6 linked regions of the Rattus norvegicus genome follow. The protein of the gene in region 2 interacts with the protein of the main gene of each other region in a pairwise test. Links are inferred from orthologs where the notes say so. Each region holds a gene or a part of one and is shown on either strand. Other genes may lie near its edges. The genes, in order: Raf1, Grb10, Egfr, Gigyf1, Gigyf2 and Igf1r.

Region 1 (4,045 bases), on a different chromosome or scaffold from region 2:
AACTAAAGCTGTGGTTACACAACACTGTAAATGTACTAAATGTCAAGAGATGTTTACTTATAAATGGTTACTTAAAAAACTTGTATGTGTATTTGTAAATGCGGTTTGCAGGTTGAGCACGTAGCACTGGGTTCGAATCAAGGTCAGAGGATGACTTTCAGGAGTCTGTTCTCTCTTCCATCATGGCACCACCAGGTTTTACTCTGCAAACTTTTTACTGAGTCACCTTGCAGATACCAAATGGCTACTTTGAAAATACACAGAGGTAGAATGGGAGTCTGAGGTCAACCTCCAATTAAGAGGGAATCTGGCACATATCTTTAATTCCAGCACTCAGGAGGCAGAAACAGACCAATCTCTTTGGGTTCGAGGTCAGCCTGGTTTACAAAGTGAGTTCCAGGACAGACAGGGCTGTTAAACAAAGAAACCCTGTCTCGAAAAACCACAAATAAACAAAGAGATAAAAAAAATTGAGAACCTATTTCAAAGAGGGATTAAAAAAAAAAAAAGCACGTTGACAATGTCACATTGTCCTTTAGGTGTCTATTCCACTGGGGTTGTACGAAGGCTCACAACAGGCTTCAGTTTTCCGTGGGCCATATTGGCGCATCAATTTTATTTTTTTCTCCATCTTTATTAAATTGGGTATTACAGGGTCTCATGCAGCTCAGCATGGCTGTGAACTCCTGATCCTCTTGCCTTTACTTTCCAAGCGCTGGGATTACAGGTGTGCAACACCATACTTTTAGTTTTTGGTCAATCTGGTGTACTACAGTGAACCCTCGATCTGCAATACAAATGTGGAACCTGAGGTTTAATATAGTATGAGAGCTTTCCCGCAAAACCCGTAAGCCGCCATTCTCCATGGATGTCAACTTCGGAAGGAAGCACCAAAGCTGGGCCCTGGGCTGTGTGTCATCTGGCGCGTCTGGTCCTCGGAGGGCCTCGCGGGTGGCCGGACCGAGGCTGCAGCCCACTGCCGCTGGCCTCCGACCAGAAGCAGTCACTGTACCTCCACAGGTTGAGCCCCGAAATGGCGGCCACAGTACCGCGAGGGCCACGCCTCCAGAGGCGGGGCCAGATTCCAGGCCCGAGCGATAGATCCCCGAGCCAAGTTTTAAGCGGACAGCCGAGCTCAGGAGCTCGCGCAGAGGCAGTGAGTCCGCGGCGCCGCAGGTCGCCAAGACGAGTGTCGAGCGCAGGGCTAGCTCGCCGCCGCAGCCTGAGAGCGTCTTCATCGCGGGTGCTTGTTCCGCCATCTTAGATGGCGGGAGTTAGAACGGAGCGAGCTTGAAGCAGGAAGGCTTCTCTGCCGTTCTCCGCAGGCCCTCAGACGGGCCAGCTGGCCGAGCTTTGGGGCGCGTGCCCTGAGGCGCGGGGCGCTAGTGCAGCGATGCGGGGCCTTCCTGGGGCCCCGTCCCCCGGGCTGGGGACACGCCGAATGTAACCGCAACCCGTTCTCTCAACCACCGCTGTCGCTGCACTACGGGACCCGGTGCTGCCCGGCTCCCTCAGGTAGGCCGCAGGGCTGACGGTGCGGCCGCGGGGCGCAGGGTCCGCCAGGCCGCTGTCATCCTGGTGGCGGGTCGGGCGAGGGCTGGGTGTCATGGCCGGCGAGCCAGTTTCCACACCCCTGCTCAGATTTCCCAGTGTTTCTCGGAAATGTGCCAGCGCCACTCCGGTGCCCAGCGAGCATTCCTCATATTTTGGCAATGGGGAAAAAAAATCCTCCTAGAGCTGCCCAGTGTCTGGGTTGTCACTGGGATGGGCTCATTCTTTTTCTCTCGGGCCGCAGAAGTGGGGGGAGCCCGGCCTTGCACCTCCTCTCGGGCTGCTTCGCTTAAGTGACACCCTTTTAGGGAAGACGAGAAGAATCAGGGACGGCAGCGAGAAACGGGTCAGTGCCCCGTCACAAAGACGTGGGACCTCGCCCGGAGCTTCCAAATGGGAGGCCGGGGATGCTCGAGATTGGGAGCTGGACTGCCTTTTGTGTGAAGCGACAGCCTCCTAGGCTCTGCAGAGCCAGTGAAGGATGCAGAGTTGGGACACCACGGGAGGCGAGGTGGCCGTGTTCATTCATTGTTCTCTCTTTAGGGCCCAGGGTGTGCCTCTGGTTTTCATTCTTTGTTTGGAGGGACAGTCGGATCTCTTCTTTCCGGGTTGAGACGTGACCGGGTCTTGGGGAATGGGGCAGGTCTGTGTATAGAAGTGGGGAATGAATTCAGGGCACGTATGGATGCCTGCATTGCGTCCTGTGGGGTCTGTGGAGACTTAGCTCCCGGGGCGTGAAAACAATGCGCGGTGATAAGGCTTGTTTTCCCAAGTGTTCTTGGGATTTAGAACAGTTAGGTGCAGAATAGAGAAACCCAGAGGTTCCTTGCTTGCTTCTGCGCGGAGTTTGGAAGGACTGTTCGCTAGGTGAGGTAGCGGGGAGGACATTGTCAGCGGGGGAACAAACAGCTGGCACCAAGGCACAGGGGCGTAGCCTGCGGGAGTTAGGATGATTTTGGGGAGCAGTTAGTAAATATGGGGTGCAGGTAGGCGGACGGCAGGGTCTAAGAGGAAAATTGATAGTTGCGAAGGGTCTGTGTGATGGATAGTGAACTAGTTCGTTTGTTAATTAACTTCATGTTGTGAATTTTTAGTTCTTGCGGGTTGCTGCTTTGCTCCCCTCCCGCTATGGTAGTGAACAAGATTTACCTTGTTAAGTCTAGCTAACCAGTTTTGGTAATTGATAGGAAATGTTTAGTGCTTTTTCACTGGTTCCTCTTCAGAGATACTCTTGCAGCTTTTTCTAAGGTTATACCTGCCTTCAAAAATACTGAGGTCATAAACATATTCTTTACTAACTCCTGAGTTTTAAATCGCTGCTGACCACGTAAAAACACGTTCCCCAAACGTATAGAATTCGGCAGATTATAGAAAACACCTGGAAAAGTGTAGCATGAAAGTATTTTTTAATGAATCCTATTTATGTAGTAGACTTTTCTTTAGACTGAGTTCCCAGGTTGCAGCTTTGTTAAGTCTCCAGCCCCATGAACATTTTATTTTGTTATTCTAATAAAATAGCTAATTTGATTAAGGCTTATGCTGAAGTGGCTATTTAGAAGTGAAGAGACATCAGGGGCAGTTTCCAAATCTTTGGTATTGTGAACCACTGAAAAACACTGAGGTTCTTTTGATTTGTTTTTACTCTTATCACTTCAAGGGCTAAGTAAGCTGTTTAAAATCCAGCAGCAACATTTGACCTAGCTGAGACTGGATACTTGGAAAAATAAACCTGCTGATGTTTCTGTTCGAAGGCTTATCTTCAGGTCTGCAAGGCTGGGATTGTGCCCTGAAGTGGGATCAGGCAGCTTTGTTAAGGTCTTGTCAGTAGTTGAAAGGATCTTGTATGCCTGTGAAGTAGAGGCTTGACTGAAAGGCTTTTGAATGCATTTTAAGGGATTTGGCCCAGTAGTAAAAAGACTGAGAACCTTTCACTTATGACAAAAAGTATCCAAAAATTAAGAATGACACTGCATTACAGCTGCTCTGAACCCACTTGGTTTTGGCTTCAAGTCAATTTTCTCTGATGATTAAACTACTTGACAGTTTTAGGAAGTTAATTTGATATTTGCAGAAGCACTAAGTATTTTTAATGGAAATACAATGACTAACTTCAAATTGCTCTTTTAGAAAGTCTATTAGTGAATGTTTGATTATTTAATATTAAAATTCAGACAAAACTTCTTTACCTACCTGCTACCTAAAACCATGAGAGAATGCTTTGGCTTGCCCGTTAGCAACATGCCCCAATGTTGACTTGCAGATCAGAATTTAAATATTGTCTCTGAAAGACAGTGAACAAATATAACAGTGAGAGGGTTTATGAAACCATACAAATCAGGCTTCAACTTAAAATGTTGTTTTATTTTTCTAAAGTTGAAACTAGACCATAAAAAATCAGGGTCTCCCACTCTTGAAAAATCAGAAATGTTGGGTTCTGTTTTTCTTTCTTTCTTTTCTTTCTTTTTTTCTTCTGTTGGCTGGATCTCCCTGTTTA
Region 2 (3,500 bases):
GCTAGCTTAGCAGTCACTGGTTACCTGAAACCACAGTGGGGCCCAGTTTCCCCTGCCTCTTTCCCCAGGCACCAAGCCCTCCCCTCTGTGTACGTGCAGTATGTGTGCAGCTCCCCCGGCCTCTCCCAGGCAGCTGCTGTTAGGGAGCAGAGCTGTACAGACCACAGCGTTGGTCTTGGCTAGGAAGCTCCCCACAGGGTCCCTGTGCCTCCGCAGATTCTTTGGAAAGCACACTTTTTGATTTAGAGCTAGCCACTGCATTCTTACTGGGGTGGCTGCTACCTCTCTGCTTTACTGTTTTTGAAATGGTGAAAATATTTTATTCTATAAAGCAACCACCTACAGGTTATTGGGTCGTTGAGTTCTGTTCTAAGTTTGTTTATAATATTTTCTCTGAGTAAAGCCCCTGATGGAATTCGCTGATGTGTTTTTGGACGAGAAAGTCTGTTTAAAATGAATGAACTTAAGCCTGGCTGTTTTCTTAAACCATGCATCAGTTTTTAGTCAATGTATGTGGTTGTTCGCATGCGTCTTGAGGAAATATAACCCTTGTATAAACACAAGCGTTCATGTGTTCCAGGGAGAATTCTCCCAGATAGAAATAAATGGAAACTATTCTAGGTTTGCCTCAAGCCTGGCTTTTCATGCCCTGTGACAGTTGTAGCTGCCAACGGGGACAGATTCTGCTTTTAAATATGTTTCTGCCAAGATGTCCCCTTCTTGCAGTATCAAAATGGAGGCTAAAGCTACTTCTGCCCAACTGCTCTTGGTAATGGGAGCAGTGCCCCATAGCCACAGTTCTCCTTTGTGAACAGAAATTCTTTCTCCCAATTCTGAGACCCTTTAAAGTGTCTTTTCCTAACCGTCTCCCTTCCTTCGAAGGTGAGATTTTTCTAGAGATTCAGCCATGGCTGCATGAGAGGCAGACAGTGGGGACTCAGGATAGAGCGCCTATGTTCACTTAAACTGTGAATGCCTGGCTGGCATCAGGTCACATGTGTAGCCTGGGGTGGACTTGTCAATAGTTTATCCTGTTGTTTGATGTGGTTAGTTCTGTGTCACTACCACCTCCACTATGGCTTTTCAGGAGCTTTGTGGGAGGACCTCTGATCTCCATTCCACAGAGAAAAGCACAGCTCGTCCAAACATGGTATTCGTGTCAGCAGGGAGCAGGCTGGACCCTTCCTTCATGCTCTCTTTACTGTAAAAGCAGAGGTTCAGAGAAGGGACTAAGCAGCCATTCTAGATCATAACGTAGGGTGTTCTGAGAGGAGTGAGTCATCTACCTAGTGAAGGCAAGAGGCAAACAGTCCAGCTGGAGCCTTCATCCCATGGCATGACCAGTGCTAACTAGCTAGGTATGAATGAGGAGTACATCCCACTGCTTGGTATCCACTGGTCTCCCAGTCTTACCACCTGTATGCCCTGTGGTCCTACCTGCCCTGCCTCCTGCTGTCTATGCCTATGTTCCTTTGCCTATAGTTTTGTAATATAAGAGTAGAAATCATTTGTGACTCTCTCATTAATGTTGTGTCAAGAAATCCCTGTAGGTACTAACCCAAACTTTGTGTTTTAGTGAATTTTCAGACCTCTTTTAGATACCTGTCAGAGAATTAGAGAGTTAAATTTAGTGTTCCTGACAGACTCCTCATCTCAGGACTTAAAAACAGCTTTTGACCTTGTGAGATTGCACTGAAGTCTCGTCACATCTTACATGTGATGCTTCTCCCTACAGAGAGGTGCCTGGAGGACCATGAGATCGTGGTCCAAGTGGAGAGCACCATGCCAAGTGAGAGTAAATTCTTATTCAGAAAGAACTATGCCAAGTACGAGTTCTTTAAGAACCCTGTGGTAAGTTTCCTGAAATCTTGGAATTTATACTTGGGTTGAATAAAACCTGATTATCAGATGATGAGCTGAGACTTACTGGGTACGTGGGTTTAGGAAGTGGGACACTATTTAATTAAACAGAATGAGGACTGTCATCTGCAATACAAGTGGGTCATGATCATACGTGGAGAAGTTTTACTATTGTCAGACATGCGTCCCTAATACCCTTGCTTCTCCCTGTCTCTCAGAACTTCTTTCCGGATCAGATGGTCACCTGGTGCCAGCAGTCCAACGGTGGCCAGGCCCAGCTTCTGCAGGTATTAAGCAAAATTCTTATTGCATTCATTCTTGCCGGAAGTTTGAAATAAGGAGCAGACTCCTGAAATCCTCCATCTTCTAAGGAAAGTAGCAACCTTATATCTACACTATAGTGGGAGCCATTTGCTTCTTTCTATGTCAACACCTACACAGAATTCTACACAATATCAGTTGGGATTTTAAGAAGTTTTAAGGAAGAAAATTTTGCCTAACCTTCCCCAAATATTTTAATGATTCCGAAAATGTCACCTATATGTAGTAATAAGATACGTGCTTTAATTGTTTTATGTGCATACCGCCTAATTGTAAAAGTGTATTCCTTCGCAGAATTTCCTGAACTCCAGCAGCTGCCCTGAGATCCAGGGGTTCTTGCAGGTGAAGGAGGTGGGACGCAAGTCTTGGAAGAAGCTGTATGTGTGCCTGCGCAGATCTGGCCTTTATTACTCCACCAAGGGGACTTCAAAGGTAAGTTTTAGAACTCCCCACCGCTCCCTGTACTAGGTGTTCTTGCTGTGGACTTGGGCTTAATTTTAAAAAAATCCTGAACCTCTTTTATGCTAGTGTTAACTAATTAATAAGCAATTTATATAAAACGGTACACGCAGGGACCCAGTGTATTGGTCTGTCAGAAATTGGATGGCATCACACACAGCAGCTCCTGTCCTCTAGGATGGTCGGCCCTGGATTCGATGGTCAACCCGCCTGTGGGTTGAACGCAGACCTTCCTGACTGACTCGGTCCACGCAAGGGTGCATTTAGTTTCCAGAATTTAGAATCTAGATCCAACCTGGCCATAGGATACGTGCTGGGTTGTTGTCCTGTATTCATAAAGCAAACTATGGTTTTCACTCTACTGGAGCAAATTTTAAGAATTGCATAGTTCGTGTGAGACAACCCGAGTCTGTTCTAGCAGAGCTGGTGTCTGAGCTCGTGCTGTTCAGATTCCACATCTTCTTTCAGTTCTGTGTGTGTGACCAGGGGAAAGGTGAGCTTTTAGCACTATAGATTTTTTTTCCAGAAACTGTGACCAGTTAACTTGACTGCTGTTTTGCAGGAACCCAGACACCTGCAGCTGCTGGCTGACCTCGAAGAAAGCAGCATCTTCTACCTGATTGCCGGAAAGAAGCAGTACAACGCACCCAATGAACACGGGATGTGCATCAAGGTACTCCATGGATGCAGTCCATGGGCTGGGGCTGGGAGCCGTGCAAAGGAGTTTTTCTCCTGGCCGGTATTTATTTGGTTGTGGATCCTTCTGCTCTAAACAGAAACTTTTTCTTTCCCTTTACACTGTCCTCATTGTGTGCTTAGGATGTGATGTTTTTCTTTTGTAATAGCCCGGGAGCTTGGGG
Region 3 (3,928 bases), about 4.7 Mb from region 2:
ACTGGTTAACAAGGACTCCTGCTAACCAGGAGACCCACCCAAGGCGTCTAAATTAGGGGACCAGGTGATTTTGTGAAGAACTCGGAAATTCTGGATTGAATGGGAGCAGGGGACATTTCTCAGATGGCTAAGAAGCAGTGACATTAGTTGGTCTTTGCTTAAGGAATTTAGTTGCCGGTCGGTCTTGCAGTTCAGAGACACATTTCTACTGGCCAATTTCTAGGTGAACTTACCTGGCAATTTGCCTCCTGGTGTGTGTCAGGGCTAGCTTGGGTCACTGGAGGCTGCTAACTGCTCTAAAGATATGTCCACTGTTGTTTGTGTTAAGTCTTTGCGTTGAGCGAAGGAATTTGCCTGATGTGTACTCTGCTTTGCTTTTCAAGCCCTCCTGGCTGGTTCCAGGTGCAGAAAATGCCGTGGTTTTGCTCGTCAACATGCATGCACTCACCCAGCAAACATACTGAGGCCTTTCTCTGTGCCAGGAGTTGGCTACCCTTCTTTCAAAAGACATGGAGGGTTCTCGATGGGATCTGAAGAACCCTCAGACTTCTGAGTGCCACTTCAGACGTGCCGCTCCCACCTCTGCCCGAGCGGTTGGGAACTCTGCGGCCAAGTCAGTCTGACCTGCTGAGATCCCGCGGTCCAGAAGTTATGGAGAATAAGTGAACAGTGTCCCCATCTGTATTATTTCCAACCTGTGCTCTACGGTAGGACAGTAACCGAGGTGGTCTAGAGTTGTTCTCTATTTTTCTTGGAAGAAAGAAAAGAAGTAAGAAGTTGGGAGACACAGAGGAAAAGAGGGGACACTGACATAGATTTGACTGGGCTTCCTAGGTCCTGAAATGCAGCGCAGTGGAGTCCCCACTCAGAAATTAATCCCAAAGGCCACCCACTGCCCCTCTGCACGCAGCCAGGACTCTCTTCCAGAGCCTTGTCTAGTGGTGGCCAAGGCCATCCACCACCACCTTCCGGCCACTGCCTGCTTTCGATCCTCGCGGCGAGCGCTTCCTCTCTCCTGCCATTCTCCTCCTCCTAGTTTCTCTGGATCCCTCCTCCTCCACTTAGTCCCTCCTCCTCCCGCCCAACCTCCCCCACGTCCCGACCAGGGCTAGCTAGACGCCTGGACAGCCCCAGCGCAACGCTCAGCAGCCTCCCTCTTCTTCCCGCACTGTGCGCTCTTCCTGGGCTCGAGCGTCTGGAGCCAGTCCCGGAGGCTACCGCCACCAAGACAGGCGACGGGTCACCTGGACGCGAGTCTGAGTCCGGGTCCCGTCGTCGTTGCCGACGCAGTCACCGGGCACGACCGTGGGACTCAGTCTGACTCGGATTAATCCCGGAGAGCCAGAGCCAACGACTGCCGAGCCGGGATGCGACCCTCAGGGACTGCGAGAACCAAGCTACTGCTGCTGCTGGCTGCGCTCTGCGCCGCAGGTGGGGCGCTGGAGGAAAAGAAAGGTAAGGGCGTGTCCCACCGGCCCGCGCCCCCTTCGAGCGCGCTCGCCCAGTCCCAACCTCCGCTCTGGACTCCGCGTCCCCAGCTGCCCGCCCCTCCTCTTCTAACTCCCAAAGCGGCCGGGACCTTAGGAGGAACTGGACATTTAATGTCTGGAATGGACGAGACTGGGGCGGCTGAAGGAAGGGAGACCGGGCTTGGGGCAGAGGGGCTGCCAGAGCAGCGTGGGAGCCGAGGCTGTGCGCTCCGGAGCTCTCGGCTGCTGCCAACTTAGTTGCCTCACTTTTCTGCGCTCAGTAGGCGTTTGGAGTAGAAACGTGGTGGGGACAGCGCGGGACGCCGGGCATTGGCGCACGTGCGCCCAGTACTGTCAGGGAGAGCGGAGGGACCCCGGATCCGCAAGTGGGACCGGCATGTCCTACCCTCTCAGCCCGGGAGTTGAGGGACTGGAGTAAGAACCAACGCGCCTCTGACCAAGGTCGGGACCTCAGAGACGCGCGGTTTCCTGAGCGCACCCTCAACGCCTCTCTTCTCCGCCAGGGTTCTCTCGGGACCTGGTAGCCTGAGTCCCAATGTGGCTTGCAGATTTCTGCGTGCTCTTTCGCGGGTGTGTAGCTGCAGCAAATGTGGGAGATATCTCTGTCACTAACCACCTGGGACCTCTGAGAAAAGATGGTGGTGGTGACTTGCTTCTTCGCTAGGAACAAAATAAAAATAAAAGGGAGGGCGTGGGGTGGGGAGGTGGCGGGGGTGGGGGGTGGCGGGGGTGGGATGGGTCGATCCCGCCTCTTGGGCATAGAGCAAGCCAGAGACCTGCCAAGCTAGGTGCACTGGTTGGGGACCAAGGCTCCCTGCCAGATTTGAGCTAGTCTGGTGTGGTGGCTGCTTCCCCGGGATCCCTGAATTTGCCCCTTCTCAGAAGCCTGGGCTTCTGCAGCATCTCTTGGAGTTGCAATGGTATGGCTGACCTGTGACAGCTGGGTCCTTGTGTGTAGTTTATCCTTGGTGTTTCAAAATGAGGCCAGGTAGCAAACTCTCTTACTTGTTATCTGAGAAGCTCCCTCTTGGGCTTCTTTTTCTTTTCTTTCCTTTTTACTCCCTCCTTTTTGGAGTGATTGATATTGGGCCAACTAAAATAGAACCCCTAATTATAAAGAAACAGATTGATGTCCGTGGATCACATGTGCCAACTGCCCAGACTGAACACGAACAAGTCTGGCTTCATGACTACCCGACCATAAACCCACTTGACACGAGAAACATGCCTCAGAAGGTTTAATTGCACAATTCAAAATCCAGCCGCTCGGGTTCCAGGAGTCAGGTCTGCACTTGCTGTTGATGTCATCGGCATCCGAGTTGGACTTGGGGGTTGGTGCTCAGTGCACTTTAGTCGGAGGGGGTGTAAGGCTCAGTTCCCCAAACTTAGCTCCACAATGAAATCATTCGGGTTTAAAAATCAACAAGCAAAACAAACTACACCCCTCCTCCAGGGTTCAGCAGCCACTCCAGACGTTCAGATTTCACAGGTCTACCTTGAGAGGATTTTTAAAACTCTTATAGCGTTTGATTTGAGACTCACTGGCATAAACGAGAAATTGATAACATCTAAGGCTACCACGATGCTCCCCACTAGCAGGAGTCTGGGAAATCTTGCAGTACAGAAAAAAGCCTGGGTGAAGTGAGTAGACCGGGGCTTGCTTTGTTCACAGATGGGATCATTGTGAAGCTTTTCTCCTACCTTCCTCAGCTGAAGGAAGTCATGGCATCTGTGCCTGCCCGTGGGACTCCCTCCCCTAGTTTTCAGTTTGTCCCATTAGAGACCCCGTAGAGCACCACTTGTCTCACCTCAGCCCTGTGGTTCCCTGTTAACCGCTTTGAACACTGTTAGTGGTTGCAGATTTGTTTCTGGTGAGATAAAAAAAAATGCCGCTTCATTTGTCTGTCTGTACGGTATTCACTTAAAACCAAATGCTTCTGGGTAGAGCAGTAAAGGTGGCAAACCAAGTATTCATCTGTTCAAGTAACATAAAAGGCTCAGTTCTAAAGGCCAGAGTGTTGAAAACTTGAGACACCCTTTCTACAGCACGCTGATAAAGGATTTGTTTGTTTAACTGACCAGTTTTGTCCCAGGCTGGCTCCCATAAGTGAGGTAGGGGTTATCCTTCCCTCCAATCTGTGGTACCATCTATACTTGTCCTCAGAGCAGAAGGCAGTCAGACACTGCTTTACATGTATGTATTGTCAGTCCTTACACTGCATGTAGTGAGCGGCGGCTCTCATCATCTCTTTGAGGGAACGTATGCACAGAGAAGCGTAGTGATTTTTGCCCATAGCTAGTACAAAACGGTGCCAAGACTGACTCAAGTTCCTTTCACCCCCAAACCACTTCCTTACTGTAGGAGGGCCAGGCTAGGTTAGGTATATAAATGACCCAGTTTTGATGCTAGAAGGATAAGGACCAGGAAACATGCATTT
Region 4 (3,218 bases), on a different chromosome or scaffold from region 2:
ACCCCGGCTGTCCCCCGGAATGGCAGCAGTGGGGGGCAGCCCCTCAGCAGGCCTGAGTTCAGAGCCTACCTGACAGGCTGGCACTGACAGGTCTTTCCCCAGCTCCCCTCAGCCGGTGTGGGAGGGCTGTTGAGGGGGCTTGGGGAAGAGGGAGCTGAGGCAGCTCATCCAATTTGTGCAACGTTCCTCCCAAAGCAGCTGAGGCAAGGGGCGACTATGGCCCCTGACCAGGACACCTGCCACGGTACCTGCCCCAGGAAGCGGACCACAGCTGGTCCAGCGGGTGGGGCTTCTGGAGGGGCCTCGCTGTGCAGACTGCCAGCACCCAGCTGACAGTTACCCCAATGACCCACCTTCTAGGGGCAGGCAGCAGAGTAAGTGCAGCCTCAGGGGAGCCAGCCAGGACAGTTCCATGGGGCCTGGTACCCACTGGCCGAAAATAACAGTGTGATTTTTTTTCCTTTCAGCCTAACTTTTTTTTCATTATTTTTTCTTTTTTTCTAAAAATAAAAAATAAAAACAAAACAAAACAAAAAGAACCCCCAAACCTCTGTGGACCTTCCAATGTCACACCCATTATCCCCAAAGGGGTGAAGGGGCCTACCGTCTAGCTTTTGAATGATACTTTTGTCTCTCCTAAGGTTTAAAATTAAAGAGAAAAAAAAGCCCCTCCCCCATCTGTAAAGTGCCTCGTGGTGGGTGAGTTAAGGTGCATCGTGTGGTTTGTAACAAGTGCTGGGGACCCTGCCCCGCTTGCTTCCTCCTCTGCTCCTTGCTGGGAGCCTGCAGGCCGGAGACCCAAAGGTCTATGCTGCCGCCACCCGAGTGTAGAGCCCAGGGGGCTGGTGGGACAGGCTGGTCAGTAGTCATCCACGCTCTCGATCTCACCGGAAGGGCCGTGCAGGGAGTACCCTGAAGCCGGGAGAGTGAGGGTGAGCTCACCAGGTCCTGTTGACCTGTGCAGGGAAAGTACAGCTTCCCAGTCCCACCCGACACTTACCCAAGATGCTGGGGTCAGAGTGAAGCATCAGCGCCCGCCTCTTGGCCTTGCTGCCCTCCCCAGGGCCCAGTTTGGTGCTGTGGTTGGCCTGAAAGGCTGTCTGTAGGGAGCTGCTGCTCAGCCAGGCCTCCTGAGGCACGAGAGAACAGTCAGGAGAGTCCGGGGTGTCCTGCCTTCCCACGTCCCACGAGACTCTACCTGCTGCTGCTGTTGCTGCTGCTGCTGCTGCTGCTGTTGCTGCTGCCGCTGTTGGCTGGCTTTCTGCTTGGCCCTCCGCTCCAGGAATTGTTTGGCAAATTCTTTGGCTTCCAGCGTGTCCCCCAGGCAGGAACGAATATAATCATGGACATCATAAGGGGACTCCACCTCCTTGAGGATCGCTACAGCCATGGGAACTATGGAGAAGGGACAGTCAGGCGTACTGGACAGGTCTAGAGTCCCTAGTGCCAACATGGCCGCCAAGGAGCACCTCATACCATCCAGGCTGCTTGTGGTGCTCAGAGTGTGCAGCATCTGCTCACACCATTGGGTGAAGCCATCCTGGGGCCGAGGGATGCCCTGTAGCAGCTTCAGCAACTTCTCTTCCTCTTCGGTCTTTTTGCGAACAGGTCGACCTGACAGGTGGCTGTAGGAGTCACTGAGGCAGGTGGGGAATTGGAGGCCACAGATGAGCCCAGACCTTAGCATCCCTTATTCCCCGACAAACTGGGCTAAGCAGGTGTCTCACCAACCTGAGAGACGGGCTGCTCCGACTGTTCTTTAGGCCCAGGCTTCGGGCCAGGCTCCCGCCACTCTTGAGAGTGTCTTCCCAGAGTCCCAGGTTGCCACTGCTGCTGCCCCCACTCTTGTCTGGCCCGCCCCACAGTGGCCCAGCCTCAGACACCCACTGGTTCAGAGGGGCAGTGCCCAAGCCCCCAAGTTGCTGTAAACGGCAGGAAGTCAGGGGGCTCTAAAATGGGACCCTGGACACCTAGGCAGGGAGGCTCATTTGGGGGCTAATGGGAGGGATGAGGTGAAGACTAGGAGAGGGGCCATCCTTCCAATAATGAAAGGAAGGAAGAGGTCTTCAGCTCTAGGCGTCTGAGCTCAGGGACACCTCCCCCCAACCACAGTGCTCCTGGAGCTGCAGCAGAGGGGCTCCCTGGGGCAGGTGCTCACCACTCGGTGGTTGGGGGCCTGGGCCCGCAGAGGCTCCCGTGGTGCCGGCTGCTTGTGCAGTTGGCGCTCACTTTCCATCTGCAGCTCCAGCAGAGTCTTCATGGACAGGCCCTGCTTGGCTAGGCCAGCCCAGAGTGGGGGTGGGGAGCTGGGTGCAGGGGGCACAGGGACATTCGTCGCCTGCTGCTGCTGTAGCAGCTTCAGCAACAGTTCCTGCTGCCGCACCTGCGTGGGGACAGTGGGTGAGGGTGGCCCACTGGCTCCAGCCCCAGCCTAGGCCCAGGAGACAGGTAGGACTTGAACCTGCTTGCGTCGAAAGAGCTCCTCCTCCTCCTGACGCCGCTTCTGCTCCTCCTGCTGCTGCTGCTGGCGACGCTTCTCCTCCCGGCGTTTGCGCTCCTCCTCCTCCCGCTTCACCCTGAGCTCCACTTCTCTGCGTTCTTGAAACTGAGGTGACAGGGACGTAAGCAACAGGGAGGCTGCCCCTGCCTCAGCCAGCCTTTGCCAGGTCAGCCTGCTACTACTTACTTTGTGTTGCAGCTGGAGTTGTTCTAGAATTGGACCCTGAGTCGAAGAGTTAATTGGTATGTCCCAAAGACTGGCCTCACCACCTGTGGCAGGCAGGAAAGAAAGGGCAACTGCAGAGACCCAGGCCCAGCAGGCCCACCCAGATAGGAAGCTGCCCCCAAATGAGCCTCCCTGCCTAGGTGTCCAGGGTCCCATTTTAGAGCCCCCTGACTTCCTGCCCTTTGCAGCAGCTTGTGCGCGCGTGGGCACTGCCCCTCTGGGTGTCTGAGGCTGGGCCACTGTGGGGCAGGCCAGACAAGAGTGGGGGCAGCAGCAAAGACTTGAGGAGACAAGGGAACAAGAGGTGGACTGGGGCAGGGTGGCCACTCACCTGACTGTGATGAAGCTGAGGTATGTAAGTCCCAGAGGGGGCCTGAATCTGGCACCGACAAGGACCGGCTCATTGTCGGGAGCAGGTTCTGGTCCCCACCTCTGAGAAACAAACCACTGGTCCTCAGGATACCGTTCTCTTGTGGCCTGCCCTCCTCTACCT
Region 5 (4,202 bases), on a different chromosome or scaffold from region 2:
AGGTTGGGATAGATAACCTTCTTTAAAAGCCACTTCTTGGGGCTGGGGATTTAGCTCAGTGGTAGAGCGCTTGCCTAGCAAGCGCAAGTCCCTGGGTTTGGTCCCCAGCTCTGGGGGGAAAAAAAAGCCACTTCTTGCTTGGCAGTGTTGGCAAACATCTTTAATCACTGCACTCAGGAGGCAGAGGCAGGAGTTCGAGGCCAGCCTGGTCTAGAACAAGTTCCAAGACAGCCAAGGCTACATCAAGCCTTGTCTGAAAAAAATCAAAAAACAAAACCAAACAAACAAAAAGTCATTCCTTTTTAAAAAGTATTTCCAGGCAGTCTAACAGCAATCACACCTACAAACTTATTTTTAAGTAACTCATTATAATTCCTGATATAGATGAGCATCCTGAGTTTCCCAAATGAATGGGAAGGAGGGATCGTGACTCAAGTCTATAGAATCTGATTTTCCTAAGACTTTTCCATAGATCTCAGACACTTGGGAGGCTGAGGCAAGAGAAGAGCAAGTTTGGGTCAGCCTGAATTACACGCACATGGACTCCTCTGAAGACTCCAGTGCACTGAATGACCCACCTCATTTTCCTGCCAAAGAGTTGTGTAGATACACTGCAATCCGTTTCTTGCAGTCTTTCCAGACTAGATAGCCTCAGTGCTCTTCCCAGCAAGCCCTTGATGGGTCCCACCTAAGTTTTATCTTCTTGTCTCAGGATCTTTGCCCTTTTCTGCCTCTTGGTGAAGCACCCTGCCCTCTACCTATCAGGTATTCCCTCAAATTTTATCTTACCTGTAAAGTCTCCTCACAAGACTAAATTGAAAAATTAACCCTTCCTGTCTTCCTATCTCTTTCATCCTCACTACTCCTAAACAGATGGTCCCTGCACAGAAATGTCTGACTTAACAAGAGCTTGCACATTACTATGAGGTAAAAACAATATGGACTCATAGAAATCATTCTTCACATTTCGAATTATGATTGCTTCCTGAGTTGGCAATATGCAGTGCAATATTCCCTGGCATTGCTGGCTAGGACCAGAGAATCACAAAATCACATAAAATCTAACCATGCAATTATAAGGGGGAAAGAATCAAGATTCTATAGGAGGCTTTGCTGTTATTAATGGGCAGCAGACTGATATCTTTAAATGCATGTTCAGCTTACAGATTTCAACTTTCAATCAGTTTAAGGGACATAGCCCCATCATTACATCAAGAAGTATTTGTATATTTTTACTTAAGTATTAAGTGAGCTCGACAAAAACAGAAATGTTTGTTCCTCAGCATACACCACTGTAGTACCTGTAGTCCAAAATAAAAGAATGGCAGCAGATAGTGCACAGTGTCTTCTTCCCCAGCCAGGAAAAACCTTCGTCAAGTACTAAAAAAGGTATGGTCTTTTCCTTTCTAGCAAATCACTAACATCATCTTTGTTAGCCCCTCAATGTTGGTATTTTTTTCCTGACACATGTCACTCACTTCTAAATGTTTTTCTAGTGTCTTCTAACGTGACAATGAAGTACATATTCCAGTTCAAGCAATCCAAAAGCTGCTACACTAGGAAAGCATCATTAAATGAGGACAAAGTATGTGTTCTAACCAAAAAAGAAAAAGTCTGCCAGTCAGAGCCACAAAGGAGGATGAAAACTCATGTACAAAAAGTATGATAATCGTCTTTATAATCTAGGAAGTCATCTGTTACCAAAGAGGAGAAACTACATAAGGAAAACTACAGTACCTGAACCATAACTTTCTATAATCCAAGGTATATGGTACTAGGTGGGAAGCCATCACTGATTCGAGTCCATCACTGATTCGAGTCCCTTAATTTCTTAAGTTATGTTGGAGTACTTACCTTCCTAATAGAGCCACTGGATGTGTTTAAGTGCTTTGACTTTCAAGAAAACGGGAGGTGACGGGAGACAGTACTAGATAAACGCAAAGCAACCTTACTGCCTCCCAAACGCGGTCACACAACCTGCTTCTTTCACACCCTCCCCTTCCTTGCCGGATTGATTGATTGATATTTCAGCTACAAAACTCAAGTGTTCAAGAGTGCTTCGTGGGAAACTGCTTGCCCATTTCAAGCCCGTGTGAACATTCGGGTCCCCGGAGCCGCCCCGGGCTCTACTTTCCCAAGCCTCTCAGTCCCAGGATCAGATCATGACTCCACCTCGCCTGGGGCCTGCTCCAGACCAGTCCTCCAGCCGTGGTAGCAGTCTTCCCCAGTCCAGATGCTCGGTGGAGACGGCAAGGGCGCACCTCCCCCGGGCAGGTGCGGGCAGGAGCGCCGGCAAGAGCAGCTGTCGGCTCGCAGCAGCTGTTAGCCGGAGGACCCCGAGGCTGCGCGGGCGACCGGCCCCGAGGAGCGGGCAGCGGAAGGCGAGCCCTCCGGCCTGACACTGCCCACCCCGCCTCCCGCCTCCTCTCAGCTTCCCCCGCGATGCCACGGGGGCGAAAGCAAGGGGCTGCGCTCAGCTGGGAAGCTCCCGGGCCGGCCACGGCCCTCGCAAGGGAGGAGGTTCCTGCGGACCCCGCACCTGCCCTGTCCCCATGTCTGACGCCCCCATCCGGCCGCGGCCGCTGCCGGGCAGCCTGAGTGTGTCCATGCGGCCGGCTCGGGCCGGAGCGGCGGGGAAGCGACGGTGGGCGCCAGGCCACGGCAGCTCGGGGAGCTATGGCGGGGACTGGGCGCGGGATGGCCGCGGACAGGGGAGACACACCGAGCCACTGGTTACCTGCGGTCCGGGACAGGAGTCTCTCAGAACCCAAGTCAATCCTCAGCCTCAACAACACAAGATGGCCGACACGTCGCCACGCACGTCACGTGACCCCGCGCGCCGACCCGCCCCCTCGGCCCGCCTACATCCCCGCCTCACTCCCTCCAGCTTCCCACGACATCTTTCCCTTCCTCTACGGCCCGCCCCCTCCACTCGGACACGCCCCTTTCTGAGACCCGGATGCAGGGCTGGGAGAGGGCGGGGCAGGAGTAGCGCAGGCGCACAGTGGAGCCTTTGGCTGCATCTCCTAAGGCCCTAGAGTTAAGCTGGTGTCCCTAATTGGAGCCTGGCCAGAGGCCCTATGACTCACTATCCGAGGCACCCAATCCAGTGCCCGTTTGCAGTACAAAAATCTCCACATCACTTATGAGCTGGTTTTCCAAGCTAGAACTTTTCCACAGCTTTTGGTCTAGCGTTTTCCTGACAGTTTGTCCATCAAGGGGCAAATGGTGAGGCTGAAATTCAAAGCAGTGTCCTTTCTGTTAGGAGTGGGAATTCATTCTGGAGTGACATCTGCGAAGGATTTTAAAGTTCCTACTCCCTCCCACAACATGCGGACCTACAACCCCCTTTATATATATACTGACTTCCCGTTTTAGGATTGCTAGATAATGAATAGGAAACCCAGCAATTCAAAAGACAAAGTATCTGCTGTCTTTCTGGAACTCATATTTAGCTGGGCATACTATATACTTCAATTTGCTAACCCTGGTCCACCTACCATTTCAAGTCGGGTCTTTCTGGGGCCATTAGTCTTCTGCCTTTCTACCACCTTTGGTGTTTGGAATCAACTCAGGGTTTCGCACAACCACTGCAAAACAGCCCTTTTATCACAGCCCTTTTATCACAGTTCTTCCCATCAACTTTTTTTTCAAATATACCCAAATGTCTTTATCTTAAAAGGAAATGTTGAAAACTTAAGTTTCAGAACACAGTGGAAGACTCCCAACCTAGCATGTTGAGAGCCCTGAATTCAACACTCAGAAGCATATATACACACCTACTTCTTCGGCTGCCTCCCTTCCTAAGTCTTGATTCCCTTTCAAAGTCAAATTATACAAAAGAGCATTAAATTTAGAGAGTGATCATTAATCTTGACTGTCAACTTGATGGGGTTTGGATTCTCCACGGAAACAAATATCTGAGCAAATTTATGAGAGATTATCTAGATTACCTTCATTTATGTGGGTAAAAGGGGAAACACCATTCCATGAGCTAGGATTCTGGCGTGAATAGGAAGGAGAAAACAAGCTGCACAGAAGCATTCAGAGCATCCATTGTATCCTACTTCCTGACCTCGGACTCAATGTGCCGGCCCCCTCAACCTCCTGCCATCATGACTTCCCCGCCTTGGCGGGCCGTACTCTTGAACTGTGAGTCAAAATAAGGCTTTGACCTCTTAAGCAAAGTCCTTCAGGTTATT
Region 6 (3,994 bases), on a different chromosome or scaffold from region 2:
GGGGTCGGCCCTAGTCTGCGCCTTACACTAGGCTTACTACAGCTACAGTTCTTTAAAGACCTGCTCGGACTCCATCGTAGATATTTCTTAAAAGAGGCTCAGGGTTTGTTTATAGAAACAGCCTTTGTGAACTACGGCAGTGGTGGGGCCGCACGGCCCGCGCAGCCTCCATCGTTTCCCCCTTGCTAACTCCTCAAGGCTAGGTCGTGATTTTTTCGAAGTTAATAGGCACCACCTGCATACATTCTGCAAACATTACTCATCCGCACGCCCTCACTTCCCCAGCCCCAACTCAAGAGACTGCATTTAAAGTTTTAATCGCGTTCAAATTACTCTACCATCTCTGAAGTACCAGTATGCCACTGTTTTTCTCGAGAACAAAACCCCCTCCTCCTCCTGCTGCCCCCATACACTGTGGAGAGTTCTCATTCCCAGAGACACCCCACCACCACCACCTACTCCTACCCGACACCACCAAAACAAAAGCTATCAGATTGCAAGCGATAGCGAGCATGGAGCGATACTGCTTATTAAGTATGTACAAAGGAAGTGCGGGGCGGGGGGGGGGGGGGGGGGGGGGGGGGTTGGCAATGCAACACAACTTTGGGCACAACAAAACCAAGGCCAGGGCTCCGCGTTCACAAAACAAAACAACCACCCGTCCACTACCATACTACAGATCCTGTCGCAGCTCAAGCCACCGCACATCTCTTGCCAGTCCAGTTGTCACCTCGTGGTCGTATGGCTGTGGATGCACCTAAATCCGCGCGGAGAGCACGTGTGTGTGGAAATGCACGTCGACTCTGCACATGGGTGGATGTCTCTAACTCCTCTTACTAAGACACTTCTGGGGAAAAGTGTCCAGAGCGAGGTAGAAACTGAGAGCCCAAGGAACCTCTAAGCTGGGTATCATCCAAGCCCCCCCCCCCCCAACACACACACACAGGCGTCTGATGAAAGTTTTAAGCTCACACTTCCTTAGGGGAAGCTGGGGAGCACACCCCGCACCCCAAGGCCACACCGGGAAGCCCAAGTTACCAAGTCTTGGGAGAGGTGGGGACTAGACACCTACAGGTTCCAGAGATGCGAAAGGCCAAGAACCAGAGGGGCCCGATGGGCCCAACAAGTTGGGTGATATAAGGCCGCGCCGTGATGTTTGGAAACGTGTCCTGGGGCCGCGAGGCTTCCCCATCCCGTACCTCCCCCTCAAGGACAACTTGCACCCCGCGGGGCAGAAGGCTCTGGCTGGCCAACACGAAGTACTAGGTCGGTCTACCCTAGGACACACCCGTGGAGCCTCCAAGGGTGCTGTCATGGTGCGCAGCGCTGGATGGGCGCTGGGGTGCCAAGTGGCGCGCCCCGGAGGGGGGAGACGAGGGCAGCGGGGCTCCCGGAGACACCCAGATGCCAACTTCCCCACCAAGTGCCCAGGAGTAGGCTGCCCCTGACCCGCTAGGGAGGAGGCACTGCCCACCCACCAGGCCGCGTGCGGGACAGCGCTCCTGGGACAGCGAAAGAGAAAGCCCCGAGGCCCTTCCCGCGCGCAGATGCGCTGAACTCAGGCTCTTGGAGCTCCTGAACCGTGAACTCGGGCCCCGATCCGCTCTGGCCTTCCGGGAGAGCCCCACCCTCCGCTCCCGAGCCCCGGAGTCCGACAGCTGCGCCCGTGGCAACTGGGTTTTCCCAAACAGGGCGCAGCCCCTCGGAGGAAAAGTTCCCGCAGTGGCCGCGGGCGGCGGGCAAATACTCACTTTCTCCACTCGTCGGCCAGAGCGAGAGCGCGGCGGAGAGAAACACGAGCCCCCACAGCGAGGTCGGGGACCCTCCTCCGGAGCCAGACTTCATTCCTTTTATTTGGGACAAAATTCCCTTTTCTCAAAAAAAAAAAGAAAAGAAAAGAAAAGAAAAGAAAAAAAAAAGAAAAAAGTCTTCAACTCAGTCCTCACTCTCGTCCAAAAACAAGAGCGAAGATCCTCGGAAAGCGGCGTGGACAGGGAGGGTGGCGCGGGGCGGCCCCTCAGCGCCGGCAGCAGCGGCCCACGGGGCGGCGGAGTAGGGAAGCCGGGGCGCGCCGGGGCGGGCTGTCGGTGTCGTCGGCCTCCATTTGCAAACCCAGAGATGCAGAAGAGGGAGGAAAACTGTACAGAAAGAGGAGCAAAGCCCAAATCGCCGCAGGCGGGGACAAACGCCCCCGATTCCCGGAGGGAACGACCACCCGAGCCTACGCGGCGGGAGAGCCCGACGCAGTTGGCGAGACTGGTCCGAAGTCCCGGGCGCGGGCGAGGCCGGCGAGGGGCAGAAATGCTGAGTGGAAATGAATGAGCGGTTCCCCCTCCTCCGGCTCCTCCTCCTCCTCTGGGCTCCGCTCGCCGCCGCCTCCTCCCTCAGCGCCGCCGCCGCGAGCTCCTTCCCAAATCCAAATCCAGGACACACAAAGCGGCGGCCGCGCAGCGCTCAGCGCTCCCGCCGCCCCGCGTCGGCCCCCGCCCGCCGCCGACTCCGTGCGCGGGGGCTCCGGCTCGCTGAAGGTCAAAGCCGAGCACGCCGCGTGCCGTGGAGCTCTTGCAGGCACGGGAGAGGCGTGGAGGGTCCAAGGAGCGGGGCCGAGGGTCTGCGAGCGCCGGGCGCGCCGGGATAGGCTCGCTGGCGGCTTCCCTGTCGCTCGCCTCTCTCGAGTTCGCCCGGTGCGCTCGCTCCTCCTCGGTTCCCCCTCCTCCTTTTTTTCCGCTCAGCGGAGTTAATGCTGGTAAACAAGAACCTCAGCCTCACCGCGCCGCCGCCGCCACACACTGGGGGCTCTACGCGCGCGCTCTCGGGGCCGCGCACACGTGCCCGCGCGCACACTCCAAGCGGCTACAGCCGCAGTCCCGGCGCGCCGAGGGCCGGGCCCCGATTCGGCAGTCGCCAAGAGCCGGAGTTCGGGATCGCAGGGACGTGTGGAGCGGAGCGCGGGCGTGGGGAGCCGGGCCCAGGAGGCACCGCCCCCCGCGCCTCCACCCGCGCCGGCCCCCGCGCGCACACTGAGCCACGCGCGCGCCCACGCTTCCGCCCCCACCCGCACTGCGCCGGCCGGCCCTGTCCGCACCCTCCCCACCCGCAGGACTCTAAAAAACAATGCCCCGGGCGCCGGCGGGACTCGGTGGCCAAGGGGGCGGCGGCAGGGCGGGCGGGCTGCGGGCGCGGTGGGCGGGGAGTGCGGCCCCGGAGCTTCATTGAAAACAACAACAGCGCGGCTGGTGAGCGCGCTGGCCCGCTCTGTGAAAAAGCTTCATTGTTTCTTGCAGCTGTTGCAAAATAAATAAATAAGTGCATGCATGCGGCATTTTTTCGCAGCGTGGTGGAAAGCCCGGACGCGGCGGGAGGGGCACACCTGGGGGAAAGGGGACCCCTGAAGAGACTGCTGCTACGCAAGGCACTTTCCACCCCAAGCTTGGGCGCCCGTGGCGGTGCTCCTTGGGTATTCCGGTGCTTACGCGCTGACAGAGAGCGGACAGGGTGCGGTCCGCATGCCTCTGTTCTCGAAGCACCGCGATTCCACCGCGGGTCCCGAGCCCTGGAAAGGGGACCCAGACAGGCGGCCCCTCGTGCCCAAGACGCGTCTCCGCGGCGGCCGCCAGAGGGCGCGGCGGCAGCCCGGGAGGGCTGGCCCGGGGAATGTCGCCTCCCTCCCTCCCGGGGAGGAAATGTGGGGGCCCCGAGTCGGGGACCGACTCGGCTGGGTCGTGCTGGCGGGGCCTCCCAGCCCCATTCCTCTCCCGCCCTGAGGGCGCTCCACCGCATCGTGCTGGTCGGTGCTCCACCACGTGGGCAGCTGCGGAGAAGGACCGCAGCGCGTGTCGGGCTGCGGGAACCCGCAGCTGGGGGGCGTGTCCGGGGGGTTCCCAGGATGGGGATTGCGGACGGGGACCCTAACCCGGACAACGTCGTCTGGCTCAGGTCCCAATCTTAAGAATGTGTAGCCGTCACCAAGGATCGGTGGCCACTGCAGAAACCC

Evidence for each region.
Region 1: the proteins of Grb10 (region 2) and Raf1 interact in a two-hybrid assay, tested with the Homo sapiens proteins (2 studies listed by BioGRID). The link is inferred for Rattus norvegicus from reciprocal best matches to the Homo sapiens genes GRB10 and RAF1.
Region 3: the proteins of Grb10 (region 2) and Egfr interact in binary tests that used the Homo sapiens proteins (3 or more experiments, as listed by UniProt). The link is inferred for Rattus norvegicus from reciprocal best matches to the Homo sapiens genes GRB10 and EGFR.
Region 4: the proteins of Grb10 (region 2) and Gigyf1 interact in a two-hybrid assay, tested with the Homo sapiens proteins (2 studies listed by BioGRID). The link is inferred for Rattus norvegicus from reciprocal best matches to the Homo sapiens genes GRB10 and GIGYF1.
Region 5: the proteins of Grb10 (region 2) and Gigyf2 interact in a two-hybrid assay, tested with the Homo sapiens proteins (2 studies listed by BioGRID). The link is inferred for Rattus norvegicus from reciprocal best matches to the Homo sapiens genes GRB10 and GIGYF2.
Region 6: the proteins of Grb10 (region 2) and Igf1r interact in a two-hybrid assay, tested with the Homo sapiens proteins (4 studies listed by BioGRID and IntAct). The link is inferred for Rattus norvegicus from reciprocal best matches to the Homo sapiens genes GRB10 and IGF1R.

Annotation. Positions count from the first base shown.
Region 1 is NC_086022.1:150,410,014-150,414,058, reverse strand, and holds the start of Raf1 (RAF proto-oncogene serine/threonine-protein kinase), read left to right. Parts: upstream 1-1,245; 5' UTR 1,246-1,515; intron 1,516-1,759; exon of another isoform or gene 1,760-2,062; intron 2,063-4,045. UniProt on the Homo sapiens protein: Serine/threonine-protein kinase that acts as a regulatory link between the membrane-associated Ras GTPases and the MAPK/ERK cascade, and this critical regulatory link functions as a switch determining cell fate decisions including proliferation, differentiation, apoptosis, survival and oncogenic transformation.
Region 2 is NC_086032.1:90,722,388-90,725,887, reverse strand, and holds part of Grb10 (growth factor receptor-bound protein 10), read left to right. Parts: intron 1-1,735; coding exon 1,736-1,851; intron 1,852-2,078; coding exon 2,079-2,147; intron 2,148-2,475; coding exon 2,476-2,613; intron 2,614-3,202; coding exon 3,203-3,313; intron 3,314-3,500.
Region 3 is NC_086032.1:95,377,498-95,381,425, forward strand, and holds the start of Egfr (epidermal growth factor receptor isoform 1 precursor), read left to right. Parts: upstream 1-1,128; 5' UTR 1,129-1,367; coding exon 1,368-1,455; intron 1,456-3,928. UniProt on the Homo sapiens protein: Receptor tyrosine kinase binding ligands of the EGF family and activating several signaling cascades to convert extracellular cues into appropriate cellular responses.
Region 4 is NC_086030.1:24,802,365-24,805,582, forward strand, and holds the end of Gigyf1 (GRB10-interacting GYF protein 1), read right to left. Parts: intron 3,158-3,218; coding exon 3,057-3,157; intron 2,770-3,056; coding exon 2,687-2,769; intron 2,606-2,686; coding exon 2,462-2,605; intron 2,384-2,461; coding exon 2,159-2,383; intron 1,923-2,158; coding exon 1,732-1,922; intron 1,638-1,731; coding exon 1,477-1,637; intron 1,396-1,476; coding exon 1,199-1,395; intron 1,131-1,198; coding exon 1,001-1,130; intron 913-1,000; coding exon 860-912; 3' UTR 501-859; downstream 1-500. UniProt on the Homo sapiens protein: May act cooperatively with GRB10 to regulate tyrosine kinase receptor signaling. May increase IGF1 receptor phosphorylation under IGF1 stimulation as well as phosphorylation of IRS1 and SHC1.
Region 5 is NC_086027.1:95,447,777-95,451,978, reverse strand, and holds the start of Gigyf2 (GRB10 interacting GYF protein 2), read right to left. Parts: upstream 2,801-4,202; 5' UTR 2,738-2,800; intron 2,379-2,737; exon of another isoform or gene 2,173-2,378; intron 1-2,172. UniProt on the Homo sapiens protein: Key component of the 4EHP-GYF2 complex, a multiprotein complex that acts as a repressor of translation initiation. In the 4EHP-GYF2 complex, acts as a factor that bridges EIF4E2 to ZFP36/TTP, linking translation repression with mRNA decay.
Region 6 is NC_086019.1:130,958,803-130,962,796, reverse strand, and holds the start of Igf1r (insulin-like growth factor 1 receptor isoform 1 precursor), read right to left. Parts: upstream 2,801-3,994; 5' UTR 1,846-2,800; coding exon 1,752-1,845; intron 1-1,751. UniProt on the Homo sapiens protein: Receptor tyrosine kinase which mediates actions of insulin-like growth factor 1 (IGF1). Binds IGF1 with high affinity and IGF2 and insulin (INS) with a lower affinity. The activated IGF1R is involved in cell growth and survival control.